Pelodiscus sinensis: one gene and its partner. The protein of the gene in region 1 interacts with the protein of each later gene in a pairwise test. Links are inferred from orthologs where the notes say so. Each region holds a gene or a part of one and is shown on either strand. Other genes may lie near its edges.

What was found.
Region 2: the proteins of MIPOL1 (region 1) and TTC12 interact in binary tests that used the Homo sapiens proteins (3 or more experiments, as listed by UniProt). The two-hybrid records come from large-scale screens. The link is inferred for Pelodiscus sinensis from reciprocal best matches to the Homo sapiens genes MIPOL1 and TTC12.

What each region holds. Positions count from the first base shown.
Region 1 is NC_134714.1:46,601,384-46,608,621, reverse strand, and holds the start of MIPOL1 (mirror-image polydactyly gene 1 protein), read left to right. Parts: upstream 1-4,235; 5' UTR 4,236-4,473; intron 4,474-7,156; 5' UTR 7,157-7,190; intron 7,191-7,238.
Region 2 is NC_134736.1:8,171,713-8,179,432, forward strand, and holds the start of TTC12 (tetratricopeptide repeat protein 12), read left to right. Parts: upstream 1-4,658; 5' UTR 4,659-4,862; intron 4,863-7,720. UniProt on the Homo sapiens protein: Cytoplasmic protein that plays a role in the proper assembly of dynein arm complexes in motile cilia in both respiratory cells and sperm flagella.

The sequences.
Region 1 (7,238 bases):
AAAAATTCAGAGTTACTAGAAATAAAAATATATTTTGCGTTAGAATTAAAGTGTTTCCACCTGCAAACCACGGATTCCCTGTGTGCCTCTCACACACTGGGGCACTGGAGTTCTGCACTTCCCGCTCCTTCCTCTCCCCCTCCCTCCCAGCACTTTCAGAGCACTGCTGTTCAAGCTCTGGGAGGGATGGAGGAGGAGCAGGGTCGGAGCGCAAGTCAGCAGATTCATGGCATTCCAAAAGTGCTGGGAGTGCAGTGGTAGGAGCAGGTAAGTGCAGAGCTGCAGTGCACAAGAGGGACATGGAGGAAGGGGACAGAGTGGGATGTTCACTGACATGGAGGGCCATTCATGCAGCCCACTTACTAATCGTGGTTGCCCATTGCTAGTCTACACTAAAAGTGGCCACAGCACGAGCGCTGAGAGAAATCAGCCCAGGCTCGTATGTAAATCACCTCCACGATGCTCCCAGTGCTATATTCTGGTTCACACTGGCTCTTCACAGTGCTGTAACTTGCTGTGCTTGGAGGTATTTTTTCACACCCCTGAGCCAGAAAATTACAGCACTGTAAAGTGCAATGTAGACTTAGCCTTGGATTTACAAAGGGAACATGAAGAGAAATCAAGTTGGACTATTAAAGTTATCAGAAACCACAATTCATCTAATTTTACCATTTCAGTCTGTTTCTGAGACAAAAAAGCAGGCTCTTTCTAAGCAAAAAAGCAATAATTTTAGACAAGTGACATTTTAAAGAAGATACTTTAGTTGACTGCAAGTAATTATTGTCTGAATTTCTTAGATAAAGAATTTTTCCTCCAGTTGCAGGTCTTTCTGAGAATTTGCCACATCACTCCCAGATGTGTTTTGTTACTTGGAAAATGAGTAGCCAATGCATTATTACTCGGAAGCATAGACCTCAAAACATTTTGTTGTTAGATATTTTCACCAAGCTACAGTACAATTCTGATAAGTTCTTTTGCTGAGCCTCTCTTGTGATAAAGTATTATCAACAAGTTCTGCTGACTGAGAAGATATTCCAGCGCTGTAAGAAAATTTAGCTGTTAATTGCTTACGGCAAAGAATGCAAAACCTGTGATGGTCACTGCACAGTGTATGAACATGTAGAGTATTAATTAAATGTAAAAAAAATGAATTGCTATATGTTGAGATTGTAATTGTACCAAAAAAATCAGGAAATTCAAAATTATTGTTCCACAGCAAACACAGCTTGTTCCCCTTGCACATATCAGGAAACAAATAGTAACTTGAATTGTTTAATATATGTATGTAAAAACTATGAGTAATCATTGTGGTGGGAATCTAGAGTAAATTCCCCTAAGACAATAAACTCTGAATGTGCTGACCTTCAAGTAATTAAAATCTCAACATTGTTTCATTAACATTTACATTAGTTCCCTTGGTTTTGCTCAGTAAGAACATTGCTTGATAAATACCATAAGATCATCAAGCCACCAGTTTTTTAGGTTGTCAAAAACTACTTGAGCATCATTGGTTCTCCATAGATGGAGAATCAGCTATTCAGTATCCCCTTTGATAGCAATGCATACATTGACCAGACATCCTGTTTTTAAAGGTGCAATCCCATATTTAAGTCCTGCAAGTGTCCCAACTTTTTCTTAAAAATGGACACATTATCCTGTATTTTCAGTATCCCACCACCAACAATACTGGCAGCTCCTGCTACTGGCTGGATCCCTGCTTGCCAGCTGCCTGACCATCAGTGAAGTCCAGTGCCTAAGATGGGAGTGGGTGTGCAAGGCAGTGTGGGATAAAGATGCAGCATGGCTGCTCCCCCTGCTGGTCCATCAGCATAGTTCACGCAGAATGTCAGATGTCTGCCAGCAGGGCTCTGTCCCACTTCCTGTCCCATTTCCAGCTGGTACTGGTGGTGAGCTGCTGTGGTTGTGTGCAAGCAGGTACCAGGCAGCAGCTGGTTATGTGTTGCTGCTGCTGCCCACCAACTGGCCTTTTCCAAGTTTCCCCTTTCACTGTTCTCTGCTTTGCCTGCTTTCTCCTGATACTCTTCCATATCTGCAACAGGCGCCATTGCAACAAAACAGGAATTTGTGTATGTCTAAAGAATAAAGTTAAGCTTTAAAATAGCCAAGATGTACATAATTAACACTGAAATGTGTCTGTTGTGGATGCATGTCATCATACCATTCTCTTATGTAAAACATTACTGCTTTAGGAAACCATAAAGTTGATCTACAATTTTAAAATAAAAACAAATCACTGTCACTTTATTACTAGGTAACATGTACCCCAAACACCAATGGTTAAACACTCCTTCAGGTTATTTTCTTTTATAGCATATAGCTTTTCTCGTTTAGCATCTCAAAATACTTCTAAAATGTGTGTGTGTGTGTGTGTGTATACACATATACACACACACACACACATTTATATAATGTATATTTTTATTTATAAACATTTATATAATAAATATAAATAAATAATACTGATCTTCTCAAAATACTAATGGCTGCACCCCCCTAGGCAGATTTCCCAAAGCATTACAAGATTTTATCCTGTGTTCTCATGAACCTTTTCCTCTACTGCTCTTCCTAACACTACATATCTGTTCACCTGGATCTCAGAAGCCTCTTTAAAAGAACTAGCTCAGTAATATTCACATATAGTTTATTTGATCATTTTCTCTGTGAGGGGTTTAGAGTGACCATATTTCTCAAAGTGAAAATGGGATACCACATGGGGCTGATCCACGTCATTTGCCTAAGCCTCTCCTGCCACCATGTGAGGCTGGCCTAAGCTCAAATCCCTTCTCTCCCCACACCTGCCCTTTCTGCTGCCAGAGTGACTTGCCTAAGCCAACTGGTGTGACTGCTAACATGAGCCCATTGTACATGGCTAGTGTCTTCCCTTGCTCTGAATTAGGAGAAGCCTACTCCAATTTTTTGGCAGAACTCAGCATCTGTCCTGTTTGACCTTGCCAACTTATGAGCTGGCAAGATTAAACTGAACAAACGGGGGCCAACAGACATGCTGAGGCCTGGGGCAAGGTGGGGGTGCAGCTCCATGCCCCCAGAAGGGATGTGGCCTCAGGTGCAAGGGACAGGGCTGGGAGCAGCTGGCCTTCAACATAGCCTATGGATCTAGTGCAGTGCACTCCACGCTATGTCTACACTGGCGGGTTGTTCCGCAAGAACATTTTGTGAAGACTTCCTGTGCAAGAAATCTTGAGAAGAACACGTCCACACGGCCATGTGCTTTTGCGCAAGAGATTTGCTTTTGCGCAAGAGCATCCATAGCTGTGTGGACGGTTTCTTGTGCAAGAAAGCTCTGATGGCCATTTTAGCCACATTGCCTTCCTGCACAAGACCTCCTGCGCAAGAAGGCTTACGCCTGTCAGAAAAGAGCGTAGCTGTTATGCAAGAAGCCCTCTCTAACCATGCTGTACTGTAAATCTTGCGAAAGAGCTGGCGGGCAGTGTGGATGCTCTGCGGAAGAACAGCCGTTCTTGCGCACAAGAATCCACCAGTGTAGAAATAGCCAGAGTGATTTAAACAGCCTGGGGCTCCAGCTGCTGTTGCTCCTGTGGTAGTGGCAGTGGTGGCCAAGCGTCCCAAAGCCCAGCAATTCTAAAAACCCTGGGACAATTGCCTCTTTTGCCCCGTCAGCAAGCCTGAAGACAAGTGCCCATTTTTGAAAAAAAAAAAAAAAAAAAAGTCAGAACAGCTAGGCCAGGGCTTACAAAGGGCCTGATACCAAATTATTAGTTGCCTTAGTGATACCATTAGTCAGTGAATAATCACCACTACACGTTCATTATTCAACTAACTTTATTCTTGAAAACAGCTTACGTCAGGGCCCCCATTCTATCCTTTCAGAAACAAGTACAGCAGTCGCTCCCCCTCTCCCTCATTGGAAAAAACACATCAGATTCTTCAAGTCAAAGCAAACCACACCAGCAACACAACAACAAACACAGGGCAGACAAGCACAGGAACTGTTCTCCTCCCCCAAAAGCCTTAGTGTGCTCCAGCCTATTAGCCAACTCCCACGCCTTTGCATCCCTTCCCCCTAAGTTCCCCACCACAGCGCGTCCCAAAGCAGCAAGTCAGTAGCAATCACCCAAATTCCCCCGCTAGAAGCGTCCACCGAAAGCTCCAACCCCCCCCGCTTCGTCGCTCGCTTCGGTGACCAGCTGATCAAATCCCGCCCAGTGTCTAGCTCCGCCTCCCACCCCCGGCTGTGCTGTTTGCTCCTCCTGACCTGCGGGAGCTCGCCTTTGCGCGCTCCCGTGGGCTGTGTGTTTCCTCCCCATCGGTGTCGCCAGGGCGCGCCCGCTGCCCTTGCCCGCCTGCGCTCGGGGCTTTGTTTGTCGGGCCGGGCTGACGGCGCGGGCCGGCGGCAGAGGGGGGCTGTGGGCACGCGCAGAGCAGTGTCTCCTCTTTGGGGTGCGTGGCACAAGCCGTAGGAGGAGGACACAGGTAATTGGCTCCCAGGAGCATTTCACCAGGCAGCTTAATCTGGGGGGCCTGGCGCTGCGTGTGTAGGATTCTTGGAGTTGCTGTGCTGGAGTTAGGATTTGCTCACACGTTGCCTGTGGGGAGACCCTGGGCTGGGCTCCAGTGGGGCATGTGTCTGTTGGATTGTGTGCTGCGAGCAGACCAGGGGGCTGTGTTCACTGCGTCCTGTGCTCAGCAGGACCACGCTCACACACGAGAGGGCTGCACGTGCGCTGTCTTTCCAACAACTCTCTGCCTCTGCTTCCCTGCCCTGCCTTGCCCAGTGCGTTACAGAATTCTGTTTGGGCTGTGGGCACGGGTGGGCCAAGTCAACTGTTTCATAGTGCGCCCGTCACAAAAGATTACTGCTGTCCTTATTAGAGGTAAAGGATATGTGGGCTGTAGCAACTGACCTACTCTCTAACCTCTGGAGGTACTCAGTCCTCCTAGCCGCTTGTGAGGAAACCTGTGTTGTGTCGATTCTGTCCCTGTGAATGCAGGATATCAGTCCCCAGGCGTCTTAATCCAGCCTTCAGATCACCTATATATACAGAGAGAGAGTGGAACCAAAAAAAAGTGACTTGAAGTGTGACATGGTTGTGGAGAGACATTCCAGAAAGTACTAGCTTCATTGGTTAGATATTGGAGGCTCAGAGAGAAGGTCCTTATTCTGAGTATTATGTAACAATTTGCAGGGAGTAGGAGGATGTAAAAGAGCCCTGTGTGCTTATATACCGTCTTTATCTTGATTAGAAGAGATCACTCTGATTCCAAAGGGCCATTAAACTATTCTTCCAGGAGTGAGCTAGATCTGGAAGTAACTCTGGGGCTGGGAGGGTACTGGGACTGGTCAATACAGAATGCGTGAAGTTCCACTGCACCTATATTTTGCAAACTTGCCAGTATATTTTGTAATTTGCGTATAATACTAGTCTCTCCCCACTTTACACAAGAGCATTGTGGGATAGGCCTGTATTACTAAATCTTCATAACTTATACCGCTGTGGTCTCATTCATATTTTATGAAGTTTTAAAATTCAAAATTAAACTAAACCCTAATTGCCAAACCAAGCAATACATTCTGTGATAGTGAGTAACATTAAAAAAAATAAATTTAGTAATGCAGTTCATGCAGATTAGTGAGGTTACACTGAAAGCAAGAAGTGACACACTTTAAGCTCAGGGACAATGATATTGACACTAACAGTCATCACTACTAGTATAGGGACCAGCACTGACTTCACTCTGACAGTCACCCTGGCAGCTGGAAGAGGCAAGCTGTCAAATATACTGGAGAGAGGAGGAGTTAAGTAAGATGTAAATAGAGATCTATAATTTACAGATGGAAAAGGCCTAAAATAATCGGGTATGCAACCCATCTCCTGGCCAACACATGAGTGATTACTATTTTGTATATATTTCTAGTGCTGTGTCTAGTTTAGCTGAAAATGTGTAAGTAATGGGACCACGCTAATAGATCTCACTGCAGAGAAATTTTCCTTGATAAGTCAGACTGAATTTTACCTTTCTAAATTTAATCTGCTATTACTCCCAGCTATCATGCTATATTCTTTCCATGAGTTCTTCTCCGTGCCTGTTTTTTTTTTTTTTAGACCAATCATGTAACTATTTAAAATTACTGCGTCTCAACATAAGATGTGGTGCTGTGAAATTCTGAAATGCATCGTTCAGTGAAGTCTGTGCCAAGCACCATCCATGATTATGCCTTTAATTGTTACTTAGACAATGTATATTTTTAGTTTTCATAAATCCAGAGTTTATAATTTTTATTGCTTTTGCTTGATTTGTTTATTGCTCTTGCCTTCTGCTGCAGGAGGTTGGGAATTTAAATATTTGTCTCAACTGTTACCCATAATTTTATGTAGTCAAATGCATTTGAGTTATATCCCCAGCTCCAGCAGCTCAGAATCACCAGGCTAGGCTGTTCTTGTAGTATTGTATGTGGGTAGGAATCAGTTACATTTGTGGACAAATGACAGCAGTAAAATATATTTCATGGGATCAACCAAAAATACAAAAGCATAGCACATAACACATTAGCTCAAACCTCTGAAGTCTGTGCTGGGGCTTCCTTTCACTTGTGTGGGTTAGCAAACATTTTAAACTCTAAAACCATGGTACGTTCACGTCTTGAATACTGCGTACAAATGTGGTTGCCTCATTTTAAAAAGATGTATTGGCATTGGAAATGGTTCAGAAAAGGGCAACAAAAATGATAAGGAGTTTGGAATGGGTCCCATATGAAGAGAGCTTAAAAAGGCTTGGACTTTTCATCTTAGAAAGAGGAGATTGGGGGGGATATAATAGAGGTCTATAAAATCATGACCGGAATGGAAAAAGTGAATAAGGAAAATTATTTACTTGTTCCCATAACATGAAGTTTTTCTTCATTTAGCACACAGTCAGCCTGTGGAACTCCTTGACAGAGGATGTTGTGACGATCAGGACTTTAACAGGGTTCAAAAACTAGATACGTTCATGGAGGTTAGGTCCATCAATGGCTATTAGCCAGGATGGGTAGGAATGGTGTCTCTAGCCTCTGTTAGTCAGAGACTGGAATGGATGACAGGAGAGCAATTGTGATGATTTCCTTTTGTGTTCATTTCCTTTGGGGCATCTGGCATTGGCTACTGCTGGAAGACAGGATAGTGGGCTTGATGGACCTTTAGTCTGACCAGGTATGGCCATTCTTATGTTCTCATGTTAAAATTAATTTGAAAAATTGA
Region 2 (7,720 bases), on another chromosome or scaffold:
AGATCTCTATAGCCTAGGCTGAGAAGCAGCTGGCTTTTAGCTCAAGTGGTAGAGGTTCCTACACTAAACTCCAGAGTTTCTAGGTTCAAATCTGCCCTGTGGCAGTTACACTGGTATCCCAATTTTCTTTCCAATGCCAGTTCTAACCAGGACTGGATGCCACCAGGTACACTGTGTCCCCCCATGATTGTGAAAGCTCATTCTTATCAAGCGATTAGCATGTCATCCCCATGGGGCTGAGCTCTTTATTACTGCATGTGCCATGCAGCACTGAACGGCGCATTGCCAGCACAGCGTAAATCACAGTCATGACACAGTGATCTTCCTAAGGCCAAGTGGCGAGCTGCGCTCTGCAGGCCTGACCATTTACCCAGCTCAACCTGGTTTGAGCAGAATGAGAGACATGGCTTTGACACTCCGCATTGTGAGTCATTCAGATACTGTCATGGTGGGAGGGGGCACATAGGTACATAAGAGAGAGAGCTAGATGAGATCGATGTGTGTGAGGCGAGATGAATTTGATTAGATTCTGGCAGCGATGGGCAACCTAGATTAGTGAGTGGGCCGCATGAGTGGCCCTCCTTCATCTCAGTGGGCCGCAGGATTGTCCTAACCAAGATGGCCTCAGGACAGGGTAGTTTTGCTCACTGAACATACGTAGCTAGAATTTGCAGGGGGTGCCGATTGTACCATAGCCGCACGTTGATGGGATGAAGAGGGAGCACACAGCTCTCACGGTCAATGTTGTCTGCAATTGGCATGCACCTCACTTCACCGGCCCTTGCTTTACAGGTGTGTCACTTTAGTAGTACGGGTAGGAAAACAACTACACGGATGTACACCAGGAGAATCTGGCAGCCCTGTGCATGGGCAACGGTAAACAAAATGTCTTGTCGGATGTGCACACACCCCTCTCCACATGGGCTGCATGCAGTCTGCGGGTCACAGATGGCCCACCATTGGATTATGGGCAGTATGAGAACATAGGATGTTGCCATGTTACACATAACACTCCAAGGCCCCCGGATTGCTGTACAAAGCATCAACCCCTTGAATTCTCCAAACTGGATGAGCTGAGGTACTGCTCCACTTGTATTATTATTGCTATTGCTATTATTGATATTGATAGTTCTACTTAGAGCAATGGTTCTCAACTTGTTTCAATCCACGGACCACCAGGCCAAACAACAAATTTTTGTGGACTTTGGGCAATGTTCCTGTGGACCACCGAAAAAGTCACCATGGACCACCAGTTGAGAACCACAGATTTAGAGGCTCCAACAAGCTCTGAGCTGCCTTGAGCTGTGTTCTATATGTAGAGACCATGAGAAATGGCCCCTGCCTTGAGGAACTTGAGCTATTGCCAATTCAGAAAAGGATCGGGATATCATACAGGAAGATCAGGATGATCTTGTAAATTGGAGTGATAGCAATAGGATGAAATTTAATAGTGAGAAGTGTAAGGTTATGCATTTAGGGATTAATAACAAGAATTTTAGTTATAAGCTGGGGACACATCAGTTGGAAGTAACGTAGGAGGAGAAGGACCTCGGAGTCCTGGTTGATTATAGAATGACTATGAGCCGCCATTGTGACATGGCCGTGAAAAAGGCTAATACGATCTTGGGATGTATTAGGTGAGGTATTTCCAGTAGGATAAGGAGGTGTTAGTGCCATTATACAAGGCATTGGTGAGACCCCATTTGGAATACTGTGTGCAGTTCTGGTCTCCCATGTTTAAGAAGGATGAATTCAAACTGGAACAGGTACAAAGAAGGGCCATTGGATTATCCGAGGAATGGAAAACCTGTCTTATGAAAGGAGACTCAAGGAGCTTGGCTTGTTTACTTTAACCAAAAGAAGGCTAAGGGAGGACATGATTGCACTTTTTAAATATATTAGAGGGATAAATACCAGGGAGGGAGAGGAATTATTTAAGTTTAATACCAATGTGGACACAAGAACAAATAGATATAAGCTGGCTAGTAGGAAGTTTAGACTTGAGATTAGACAAAGGTTTCTAACCATTAGAGGAGTGAGGTTCTGGAATGGCCTTCCAAGGGAAGTAGTGGGGGCAAAAGATCTATCTGGCTTCAAGATTAAACTAGATGGGTTTATGAAGGGGATGGTTTGATGAGATAACATGATCTTGGTAACTAATTGACCATTCATTATCAGTGGGAAATAGGTCAGTGGAGGGATGATAGGAGTTACTATAGAGAACTTTCTGGGTGTCTGGCTGGTGAGTCTTGCCCACATGCTCAGGGTTTAGCTGATCGCCATATTTGGGGTCGGGAAGGAATTTTCCTCCAGGGTAGATTGGCAGAGGCCCTGGAGGTTTTTCGCCTTCCTCTGTAGCATGGGGCACAGATCACAGCTGGAGGATTCTCTGCATCTTGGGGTCTTCAAAGTATTTGAAGGCTTCAATATCTGAGATATAGGTGAGAGGATTATTCTAGGAGGGGTGGGTGAGATTCTGTGGCCTGCACTGTGCAGGGGGTCAGACTAGATGATCATAATGGTCCCTTCTGACCTTAAAGTCTATGAGTCTATGAGGTGGTGAGTGAGAGAAAGGCAATAGTAATATCCCCATTTCACAGCTAAGCAGGGAAAGACTGAGGCGATGTCTACACTATGCAACTTTTAGCAAGTAGGCTGTGACAATAGCCCTGTCGCTAAAAGCTGCCAGGTGTGAACACTGTTTGTTGGCACTTTTGCCGACATAATACTTCTACCCCCAAAGAGCGGGTTTCCCTTTGAGAGCACTTCTGCCGACAAAGCAGTGTTCACACATGCACTTGCCATGGCAAAACTTTGTCGTTCCTGGGGAAGGGGATAAAACACCCATGAACAACAAAAGTTTTTCCAAGCAAGGGAAAGCGTAGACCCAGCCTAAGCAACTTGACCTAGGTTAGAGAAGGAATCTGGTAGCACCACCTCAGTGCTGTACCCCTGCAGTCCGCCTTTCCTCTGCTTCCCGCAGTCGTTGTGCAGGGTGTGTAGTGTTCGTGTCTAGTCACCCACCCTTTCCAATTATTATAAATTAGCAGAAAGGAGCAGGAGACTCAGCAACTCAGCGTTCAGCTCTCCATTAATGGCAAGTGCTTCGTTCTCGCTGTGACGTGTTCCACTCAGCGCGGTCCTGGAGAGGGGGCAGCAAAAAGCAAGCGAGACGCATTCGAGCCAGACACAGTGCATGATAAACAGCAGGGCTTTTAAAAAGGAGCTTTCTAGGGAATTATGAATTAATAATTAAAAAGAGGAATTGACTGGCTGCAGCTGGTCTGAGGCCAGCGCCGCAGGAACCCAGCACGGGCGAGTCAGAAATGCACCGTTAGCACCGCCTGCCTGATTTACAGAGAAATCTTAAAGGAATCATAAATCTCTCTTAATAGAACTGGGTGGGCTTACATCGGAGGAGAGGCAGGAATCGTCTTTGTCCTTGCTTTAAATGCTACCAGGGATACATTAAACAGGGACCCAGGGAAGTGTTCCGCCTAGGAACACAGGCAAGTTTTGCCACATGCAATCAGACCATTTCTTCAACTGGAAAAGTCCCCCCCCCCCCCACCATACATCCACCAGCAGTGCCATGTGTCCAGGCATGGCTGTGGTGTAATATACGATAGGGTAATACATACATCTGATCCTGACTGCCCTTCACTGTGCCTATCACTGACGCCCGCTCCCCTGTGCCTCGGTGAAATGATAGCACACGTCTCAGTTCGGTTAGCTCAGATTGCCAGGGCTGGCCACCAGTAGCAATGAGTTCATGCCGATCCCCATGCAGGGGCTCTGAATGTGTCATTGCTAGGTGAGCTGCAGCCATGGGGACAGTCCCGACAGCGTTGGGACTTGGAGAATAGCCCCAGCATGGCTCTGTCATGCACACCGTCCCCATGTCATGGACAGGGCCTTAGGGGTGTGCATGGAGCTCTGAGTGAGAAGGGGCTGACGGCCAGATCTCTGTAATGCCAGCGAGAGCAGAGCTCCGACTTTGCATGGGGCTAGGCCTTGTCTGCCATCCCTTCCCAATAAGAAGCTGTTGCTTTTGTCTTCTGCTGGAGCTGCTTGGCTCTAAGGGGCACCTCCAGCCACTGTGACATCAGCATGGTGACGTTTGTCTCCGTTTTGGTGTGATTGGTAGGAAACCCTGCGGGTTTGTTATTGTGGGTGTCTTATTGTTCTTCCTTTCTGGCTAGGAAACGGGCTCCGTGCCAGTTGGTTCTGAACTACGACACAAGGACAGTCAAACTAGTCCAGCCCCAGCATTACTCAGCACTAGGCCTGCCTCCGTCTAAACCTGATCTTCCTTAGGACATGCTCTGTAGGGTGGGTGCTCAGGTTCATGGCTTGCTTAGCTGCAGATGTTGCTACAGCTTTGGCGCCTTTTCGGAGACGTGGCCAAGCCTTGCTCTGAACAGACCCGCCTCAGGGAATGTCTGAGTGTTTCTGCTCCAGGGACAGGACCTATGTGGGCTAGATCAGTGATAAGCTACAGCCCACACCAGGCCTGACAGGGTTAACCAGAGCCTGAGGGGCCAGTTAATTACCTGGCATCACCTGAGAAAAGGCGGGGCTGGGTTAATGGAGCGTGAAGCGCAGCTGAGGAAAGCTGGGCCAGTACTTCAACCCATAAAGCTAAGAGAACAAAGGGGGTCTGGGTGGAGGAATTTCAATGCTCTGGGATGAGGGAAGCCCTTAGAGAACATAAAAACAACAGGGATACAACAAGGCGTCTCCGTCCCATGTGGATCTGGATTTGAACTTGGCTGCCCCCGTCTAGACAGGAATGATGGTCTGGAGGTTAAAGGACGCAGGCGATCTGGATTCAGATCCTGGCTCTGCCTGTGTGACGTTGGGTAAGTCACTGGGTCTTCTCTGCAGCTGGGATTCACAAAGGTGTTTAAGCACGGAGGCACCTGGGGGCTCGTGATCTTTTCTTCCTCTGTCTTGTCGGGTGGGACTGGGCGCTCTTTGAGGCAGGGACTCTCTCATGATGGGTACATACAGCACCTGGCACACTGAGTCTCTGCTCACGTCTGAGGCCCCTCGGCACTCCCCTAATAATCCTTTTATTCCTGAGTTACAGCTGCGGCATCCACTCATCCCCTCGAGGAAGCAGCCCAGGAGGAGTAGAAAGGGGCAGCAATGCCACGCAGTACCTTGCTGAGACAGACGCCTGGGAGCAGCCAGCCCAGTGCGGTCAAAGGCAGCCCTTTGTCTCTCTGCTGCTCCAGACAGCCGGGTTCACTCAGCGGCTGGCTAATTAGCTGTGTGAATAGCCAGAGCTTGGGGCTGGCCTGTGAAAGGGAGATGGATGAGGTTGCTGCACGGCGCTGGCTGGGCAGGTGTAGCACAGCAATTCCCCGTTTTTCCCCTCCATCTGTTCCCATACTGCCGAGCCGGGCCCTCCTCTGACATGCCGAGTGACCCTGCAAACCCACCAGGCCCGGAACCGCTTCCCCCAGCTACTCTCACGCTCAGACGCGTCGGGCGCTTTTAATAAGGCAAGATTTACTGCTGACCTTTGGGCGCCGGGGTCCTTTCTGGGAGGCCGTGGCAGCCCCAGCCACGCCCCACCCCGCAGCAGGAGGAAAGCAGACTATTCCTCTCACTGCTTCGGGGGAACCCCAGAGATTCTTGAGTCCCATCCTCTGACCTCCGTTCCCACTTGCTCTCCTGCCCCTCCGAAAGCTCCACCTTCCGATTAGCCGGTCCTGGAGCCTGCTCCCCCAGGGCAACCAGAGATGATCTGTGGAGAATTGCTCCCAGACCCTTTCTTACCCTGAGGTAAAAGGCATTGTCAGAGCTGATCTGGAGACACTGGGACCAGTGGGACAGGAAGAGCGGAGGCTTCCAATACGATGGGGATGGGTGCTACAAACCAGTCCCCGGCTTGCCTGGATCTGGCCCCTGAGGCATGGGGCTTCCTCCTAGCATTGGGGAGCCTGTGCTGGTGCCTCAGCTCCCCGCCATTCCTCACAGGGCTGGAGCACACAACATCTACTAGCCTGGGCCTCCCTCGGCTCTGGTGTCTGAGGGGAATGTGGAGAATGTCTTTCTGCTTCTCGTTTGGAGGCTGCCTCACTTGTGTGTGGCCCCCAACTGATTTCGCTGTGGGTCAGCGGCCCCCGACCCAACAAGGGGTTCCCACCCCCGCTATAAACGCAGCACCATGGAACAAGTGGAAGGTTGCCAGCCCTCCAGGACTGGCCTGGAGTCTCCAGGAATGAAAGATGAATCTCGAATTAAAGATTACAGCCCGGCGTGAAATCTCCAAGGATGCGTCCAGTCCAAATTGGCCACTCTAAACAAGCCGCTCCATGGGCTCGTGACCAAAACGCTCTGCTCCCACTGCTTCTGGGGCAGGGCTCCCTCCCCATCGTGGCAGTAGAGTGCTTCATGCTCGTGCTCTGACTGGTTACTGCGGCCCTCTGCTTGCAGGCCCAGCTCTGCCAATGCACCCCTGTCCTGTCCCTCCACTTTCTGCTGTTGCAGCCCTGGTGCTTTTGCAGCCACAGCTCGGCCGGTACACTGCGACCCTGACCCGAACCCCCCCTCCTCCCCGTTTTCCAGCCCGGCCTGCCCATCTTGCAACCATGTGACAGGTTAACAAACACAGGGAGGAAGCTTGAAAGACTAACAGGAAACACCCCCACTGGTGACTTTGATCAGGAGGAGCTCAGGCATAGGGAGGCGGGAGACTTCACTGACAACCAGATGCTTCCGATAGGCCTAGGGTTGCCAGGTGTCCAGTATTGACCCGGCCCGTCTGTTATTTTCACGTCCTGTCCGGTAAAAAAATTCAGAAAATACCAGACACCTAAAATGTCTGGTATATTCTGATTTTTTTTTCCCTGCCAGGAGGCAAAAGTACCGGACACCTGGCAACCCTACGATCCACTCAGCAACTGGGCCCAGCTCTCTCACTTACCTGGTTCCACAGGGGAGCTGTCTTCTGGCTCGGAGCAGGAAAACAAGATGGCTGACGGCCATGCTGCCTTAAAGGAACAACATGCTGGGTTTTTTTTTTTTTTTTTTTTGCTTAATAACTCTTGGGGCAGGGGGGGATGTTTGGTATTTTTGGTTAAACCATCTGGCAACCCTAGACAGGCCCTGTGTTCGTTTGGGCCTAGCTGAGCACTCAGCACGGTCTCCGGTTGGCAGAAGATGATGGGAATGACTCCAACAGGGGCTGTTGCCAGTTGGTGCCGCCAATCCACGGCGTGTCCATGGTAGTTCTGCAGCCTCGGTCAGCAGGCGGGGCAGGACTGGTAGGGCTCATGCTTTCCTGTGGTGCTAATCTGTTGGGATGGGCAAGCACCAGCTTGGTCCCTGAAACCAGCTCCGGGCCAGGGTGGCTCCCATGGGCCAGCGCACACAAAAGCAATGGGGCAGCAGGGAGCTCTGGGGATGCTTGTGGTGTCAGGCTGGTGTCAGGGATTCAAGACTGACAGATGTTCCCGGGGGCAGGAGAAGAAAAATGTGTGGCCAGCCAGGAACAGGACTGGCTAGCAAGCTTCCGCTTCTGAGCTATGAGTTGTGTCCCTCAGAGCTTGGCTAGCCATGCTGTTTACCCCGAGTCCCTGGCAGAACCGGCTTCTTCCCAAGGTTTGGGTGTGGCTTTATTGCTCAGTGACTCTGGCATTCCTGATCCAGGACCTCTGTTATATATTATAAATCTCAGCCAAGGCTAATGGCTCACGGCGCTAAGCCC